Linked DNA regions of Macaca mulatta. The protein of the gene in region 2 interacts with the protein of the main gene of each other region in a pairwise test. Links are inferred from orthologs where the notes say so. Each region holds a gene or a part of one and is shown on either strand. Other genes may lie near its edges.

The links.
Region 1: the proteins of NXF1 (region 2) and SRSF1 interact in binary tests that used the Homo sapiens proteins (3 or more experiments, as listed by UniProt). The link is inferred for Macaca mulatta from reciprocal best matches to the Homo sapiens genes NXF1 and SRSF1.

The regions. Positions count from the first base shown.
Region 1 is NC_133421.1:51,982,245-51,986,368, forward strand, and holds the start of SRSF1 (serine/arginine-rich splicing factor 1), read left to right. Parts: upstream 1-1,316; 5' UTR 1,317-1,519; coding exon 1,520-1,713; intron 1,714-2,121; coding exon 2,122-2,306; intron 2,307-2,673; coding exon 2,674-2,846; intron 2,847-3,029; exon of another isoform or gene 3,030-3,046; coding exon 3,047-3,241; 3' UTR 3,242-3,606; coding exon of another isoform or gene 3,607-3,645; 3' UTR 3,646-4,124. UniProt on the Homo sapiens protein: Plays a role in preventing exon skipping, ensuring the accuracy of splicing and regulating alternative splicing.
Region 2 is NC_133419.1:11,264,687-11,267,616, forward strand, and holds the end of NXF1 (nuclear RNA export factor 1), read left to right. Parts: intron 1-1,858; exon of another isoform or gene 1,859-1,899; coding exon 1,900-1,960; intron 1,961-2,082; coding exon 2,083-2,121; 3' UTR 2,122-2,428; downstream 2,429-2,930. Other genes in the region: TMEM223 (transmembrane protein 223), read left to right, coding at 2,570-2,885.

The DNA of each region.
Region 1 (4,124 bases), on a different chromosome or scaffold from region 2:
CTTACTCTGTAGCCCAGGCTGCAGCGCAATGGCGCGATCTCGGCTCACTGCAACCTCCACCTCCAGGGTTCTAGCGATTCTCCTGCCTCAGCCTCCCGAGTAGGCTGGATTACAGGCGCCCGCCACCAAGCCCGGCTAATTTTTTTTTTTTCAGTAGAGACGGGATTTCACCATGTTGGCCAGGCTGGTCTCGAACTCCTGACCTCAAGTGATCTGCCGCCTCTACCTCCCAAAGTGCTGGCGTGAGCCACCGCGCCCAGCCTAATTTTAATTTGAATTCATTAGCGACGTTTAAAAATCCCAGGATTTCACATAAAAATCCAGATTGCAGACGTCGAAAAAAAATGTAAAATGTTATCTCCCAATGTCGCAGGCAAATAAGATCACAGTCCTGAATAGCAACCGCGGTCTCTAGTGGACACGGCTCTCATCCATTTCGGTCCATTTTATTACCTGGGAGGACCGGTATTTTCAATTTCAGTAACTTTTAGAGGAAACTTTTGAAAAAAGGACTGCACACACGCACCTTTTCTTCCTTCTCGTTCTTTAAAAGGAAACAACAGAAACAATTCATTCTGCAGGCAATCTGCGCTAGTCCCACGGATAGGCGATTAACAAGAGATAAAGAGGTGTGGGTACCAGAAGCAGTACTGTTACCCCTTCTGGTTGGCGGGTACCACGTTGAAAGGTCGGGGTACGGGCCCACTGCGACTAGCACAAAGAGTGCTGAACTGAGCTATGCAAAGTTCTGACGAGAAGGTGGAATGGTTCTTAATGAAAAGGATTAAGGAATCTAAACCGGTTTCGCTAAATTAGACACATCTGTCTAAGCAGCCACAGCTTGTTCGCAGCAGGGGCGGGAAGACAAACCAACGCCCCAGCTCTCTATTCAGTCACCGGCAACTCAGCTCTGGACTAGACGCACTCTACGAAGATACCCGGGTTTCCGGAGCAACGGCCCGAGCCCTCCCCCTTTAGCCCCGCCTCCGAGTCTCTTTCCCGCCAAAGGCCGTTATCGCCGCAGAGCATGGTGGGACAAGGCTTTAGGCTAGGTTTCACCAAGTCCTTTGAAGGCGCCGAGTTGCTTTCAAAGCTCCTCATTCCTGGGGAAATTGACTATCCTTCAAGACTCGACCTGGATGACTAGCTCCTTTAACGAGAGTTCTTTATTTAACTTTTACCAAACGGCTGCTCACTCTATTCGCAAACCACCCCAAGCGGGGAACGCGGGGGACTTTTTTTCCCCCTTCGTGCGGAGGGTGACGTCGCGCGTGCGTGCGCGTGCGTTGCGCGTATCCCTCGCAGCACCCGTTGCGCTCCCGCGCGTGCGTGTTGGGATCGAATCGCTGTTTCCTTCCGCTTCTCTTCCTCTGTCTCCCCCCCATATCCGTGCGCCGAGCTGATAAAGGCGCCATTTTGGAGGGGCCGCGGGAGACGTGGTGCCGCTGCGGGCTCGCTCTGCGGTGCGCTAGGCTTGGTGGGAAGGCCTGTTCTCGAGTCCGCGCTTTTCGTCACCGCCATGTCGGGAGGTGGTGTGATTCGTGGCCCCGCAGGGAACAACGATTGCCGCATCTACGTGGGTAACTTACCTCCAGACATCCGAACCAAGGACATTGAGGACGTGTTCTACAAATACGGCGCTATCCGCGACATCGACCTCAAGAATCGCCGCGGGGGACCGCCCTTCGCCTTCGTTGAGTTCGAGGACCCGCGGTGAGGCGGCATGGGGCTTGCAGCCTTGAGGAAATAGGTCCGAGTAGTCGGGGAAGGCTCCAAGGCCTTAACATAGAGAACGGGGAAGCGGGGGCTCTTAGAGAGGTTGGGGCGAGACTGTATCGCCCATGCAGGAGTCGAGTAAGGAGCTGAGTTGGTGTGGCTTCTCTGGCGCCTCGCCTTGGACGTCCCCGGAGCCCATTCGCAGGCTGGAGCGGGAAACTGAGGCGCTGAGGGCTGGTGTAGTGGTTGGGAGCCTGGCGTGTTTCTGGGTGGGGGAGGGGCCATTCCTATTATGCGGCGCATGTGGGCTCTTCCACGTTGGGTGCGCATGTGCGGGGGGTTCCCGACTGAGCGAGCTTCTCCTCCTGGTCTTTCTCATGCCTTTTACTTTCTGCGATCCCGCAGAGACGCGGAAGACGCGGTGTATGGTCGCGACGGCTATGATTACGATGGGTACCGTCTGCGGGTGGAGTTTCCTCGAAGCGGCCGTGGAACAGGCCGAGGCGGCGGCGGGGGTGGAGGTGGCGGAGCTCCCCGAGGTCGCTATGGCCCCCCATCCAGGCGGTCTGAAAACAGAGTGGTTGTCTCTGGTGAGTGTACTTGGTTGTGTGGATTGATGTGAAGGGACGGAAGCTACCTAAAATTTTTGTCTTGCATGATCGGTTTAACAATTGCAAATTTTTCATGCTAGGTCTTAAATTGCTTTAGTTTTTGGGTGAATTTAATAAACGAGGATTGCTGCTGTGGTGATTTACCAAATTAGGTTGCGGTACTAGATACGAAGATCCGTTACAAATAATTTTGGACTCTGGATCCCAGAATCTTACCAGCTCTTTACCTGGTATCACTTAAGTACACCTATTAAGTATTTTAAAGTACTCTTTGTTCTAATGTACCTTACCAGCTTAACGTGAAATTTAAGATAATTGATACTAAGAAAAAAAATCACTTTTTCAGGACTGCCTCCAAGTGGAAGTTGGCAGGATTTAAAGGATCACATGCGTGAAGCAGGTGATGTATGTTATGCTGATGTTTACCGAGATGGCACTGGTGTCGTGGAGTTTGTACGGAAAGAAGATATGACCTATGCAGTTCGAAAACTGGATAACACTAAGTTTAGATCTCATGAGGTAGGTTATACGCTTATTCTTTTCTTTGACCAGAATTGGATACAGTGGTCTTAACAGTGGAATTTGAAGGTAAGAATTCAGGCAAGGGTGTCCAAGTAAATTGCCAGATTTCTGGTTGTAGTTGCATTGTATGCATTCAGCATGCCTGAAGATAGATGAAAGCTTAGATCTTTCAATGGAAAGTTCTGTCTATCCAATAGGGAGAAACTGCCTACATCCGGGTTAAAGTTGATGGGCCCAGAAGTCCAAGTTATGGAAGATCTCGATCTCGAAGCCGTAGTCGTAGCAGAAGCCGTAGCAGAAGCAACAGCAGGAGTCGCAGTTACTCCCCAAGGAGAAGCAGAGGATCACCACGCTATTCTCCCCGTCATAGCAGATCTCGCTCTCGTACATAAGATGATTGGTGACACTTTTTGTAGAACCCATGTTGTATACAGTTTTCCTTTATTCAGTACAATCTTTTCATTTTTTAATTCAAACTGTTTTGTTCAGAATGGGCTAAAGTGTTGAATTGCATTCTTGTAATATCCCCTTGCTCCTAACATCTACATTCCCCTCGTGTCTTCGATAAATTGTATTTTAAGTGATGTCATAGACAGGATTGTTTAAATTTAGTTAACTCCATACTCTTCAGACTGTGATATTGTGTAAATGTCTATTCTGCCCTGGTTTGTGTGAACTGGGATGTTGGGGGTGTTTGTGGTTATCTTACCTGGGGAAGTTCTTATGTTTATCTTGCTTTTCATGTGTCTTTCTGTAGACATATCTGAAGAGATGGATTAAGAATGCTTTGGATTAAGGATTGTGGAGCACATTTCAATCATTTTAGGATTGTCAAAAGGAGGATTGAGGAGGATCAGATCAATAATGGAGGCAATGGTATGACTCCAAGTGCTATTGTCACAGATGAAATTGGCAGTATTGACCTTATACTAAAAGGCAGGGGTTAAAAATGATTATATACGTTTTCCTTAAAACACTTGCAAACATTTTATTCAGTTATCTTTAGCTACAATTGCTTTGCTCTTTAAACCTTGGCAATTGTGGCAAAATTATATTGCCCATTTTGTAGCAACTTATTTTGCTCCCTTCCCCCCATTTTTGTTTTAATAGGGACTAATGTGGGAAGAACTGGCTAATTTGTCACAGTGCTTAGTTACAACTGTTAATGTGTGACCTGCTGTTGGTGTACATGTGGGTACAGGGTGTCTTTAAATCCAACAAGATAGAGTATAATATCAATACTGCTAAATCTGCATGTCCTCTGTGTGACTGATA
Region 2 (2,930 bases):
CATGTGCCACCTTTTTTTTTTCTTTTTGAGATGGAGTCCTGCTCTGTTGCCCAGGCTGGAGTGCAGTGGTGCGATCTTGGCTCATTGCAACCTCTGCCTCCCAGGCTCAAGCAATTCTCCTGCCTCAGCCTCCCGAGTAGCTGGGATTACAGGCACATGCCACCATGCCTGGCTAATTTTTTGTATTTTTTTTTTTTTTTGGTAGAGACAGGGTTTCACTATGTTGGCCAGGCTGGTCTTGAACTCCTAACCTCGTGATCTGCCCACTGTGGCCTCCCAAAGTGCTGGGATTACAGGCGTGAGGCACTGCGCCCAGCCAGATTTTTATTTGGTTGTTTTGAGACAGGGTCTCACTCTGATGCCCAGGCTGGAGTACAGTGGTGCAATCACAGCTCACTGCAGCCTCAACTGCTAGGGCTCAGGTGATTCTCCCACCTCAGGCACCTGAGTAGCTGGGATTACAGGCATAGGCCACAGCACCTGACTCATTTTTTTGTATTTCCTTGTAGAGATGGGGTTTCACCATGTTGCCCACCTAGGCCTCCCAAAGTGCTGGGGTTATAGGTGTGAGTTACCGTGCCTGGGTTCCTGAAATTTTAAAAGGCAAAGCTTTTGGCTGCTTAAAAAAACCTAATAGTTGGCCAGGCAAGGTGGCTCACATTTGTAATCCCAGCACTTTGGGAGGCTGAGGCATGCATATCATGAGGTCAAGAGATCAAGACCTTCCTGGACAACATGGTGAAACCTCATCTGTACTAAAAATACAAAAATTAGTGGGGCTTGGTGGTCCATGCCTGTAGTCCCAACTACTCGGGAGGCTGAGGCAGGAGAATTGCTTGAACCCAGGAGGCGGAGGTTGCAGTGAGCCGAGATCGTGCCACTGCACTGCAGCCTGGTGACAGAGCAAGACTCCGTCTCAAAAACAAAAAACCAAAAAACCCTGATAGTCTACAAAAAATTTGCCTGTGCATAAATTAGCATAATTTTTTTTTTTTTTTTTTTTTTTGAGATGGAGTCTCACTCTGTCCCCCTGGCTGGAGGGCAGGGGCGCGATGTTGGCTCACTGCAAGCTCCACCTCCCGGGTTCCCACCATTCTCCTGCCTCAGCCTCCTGAGTAGCTGGGACTACAGGCGCCCACAACCGCGCCCGGCTAATTTTTTGTATTTTTAGTAGAGATGGGGTTTCACCGTGGTCTCGATCTCCTGACCTTGTGATCCGCCCGCCTCGGCCTCCCAAAGTGCTGGGATTACAGGCGTGAGCCACCGCGCCCGGCCTAGCATAAAAATTTTTAAAGGTTGCCGGGCGCGGTGGCTCACGCCTGTAATCCCAGCACTTTGGGAGGCCGAGGTGGGCGGATCACGAGGTCAGGAGTTCGAGATCAGCCTGGCTAACATAGTGAAATCTGTCTCTACTAAAAATACAAAAATTAGCTGGACATGGTGGTGGCGCCTGTAATCCCAGCTACTCGGGAGACTGAGGCAGGAGAATGACTTGAACCTGGGAGGCAGAAGTTGCAGTGAGCCAAGATCGCACCATTGCACTCCAGCCTGGGCGGCAGTGAGACTCCATCTCAAAAAAAAAAAAACGTTAAAGGCAAATGGAAGTTCCTTTTCATATACTGTTCTGCAACTTAGTTTCTTTACTTACACCATGAACATCTTTCCCTACCACTGTAAAAAGTATCTTGGACTTCTTGACAGCTATTTAATATTCCTTATCTTTGATAAGCCATTGGTAGAACATTTGGACTTTTACTAATTTCTCATTTGTATAAATAGTGCAAGGATGTATAAGAATGTACATATTTGTTGGCAAACCTGGGTGCTTTTATGGAATGGACTTCCAACTGGCATTTAGGGGTCAGAGTTCTTACAGAGCTGCCTGTTCTTCCACTCCAGGTGCCTTCAGGACAACAACTGGGACTACACCAGATCTGCCCAGGCCTTCACTCATCTCAAGGTAAGGTCTGGAAATACAGTGGCAAAAACACTAGGATCTCTGGGCCTTCCGGAGGTCAGGTTAGCTGGGGTTGCTGAGTGGAGATGGTAGGCCTGCCTCTACTGACCTTCATTTTTCTCCAGGCCAAGGGCGAGATCCCAGAAGTGGCATTCATGAAGTGATTGTAGTCATGCCCCAGAAGCAGCCTCCCCTGTAAATAGTCCTTGGATATTACCATCTGGTTGTCGTCTGTCATCTCCTCCTGTCTGGCCCTAGGCCGCCCCGTGACTGTGACCGAGGGAGGGAGGGCTGCCTGATCCCTCTCCTCGCCTGCCCTGGAAGCCTTCAGAAGATTGAGCCTCACTGATGCCCGGAAGCCAAAGCTTACTTTGTAGAACTGACACTAAACTACCCGAAGGATTTAGGTGCTTTGTGTACTTAACCCCAGGACCTCCTTACTTTTTAATATAAAGAGTGATGTTGTATTTTGTGTTCTGCGTTCTGGATTGGTTGTCTCCTCCCAGCCCTGAGCGGGAGGGCGGGCCCTCTAGCGGGGCGGGGGAGGGGGGGGCCAGGGAGGGCGGGAGGCGGCTCCGCGACAGGAAGTCCCACCCCGGAAGTCGGCTGGCCATGGCGGCGCCTTGGAGGCGGTGGCCCACGGGGCTGCTAACTGTGCTGCGACCCCTGCCCACGCGCCGGCCCCTGCAAGGCGCGACGCTGCAACGGGATGTGTTGCTCTTTGAGCATGATCGGGGCCGCTTCTTCACCATCCTCGGGCTGTTCTGCGCTGGCCAGGGCGTCTTCTGGGCCTCCCTGGCTGTGGTAGCCGTGTCCCGGCACCCGGTCCGGGTGAAGCCTCTGGATGCGGAGGTCCCAAACCGTGGCCCCTTCGACCTGCGCTCCGCGCTCTGGCGCTATGGTCTGGCCGTCGGCTGCGGCGCCATCGGTAAGACGTGGGCTGGCTTCCCACTATGGCAACGTGGGGTGGCGG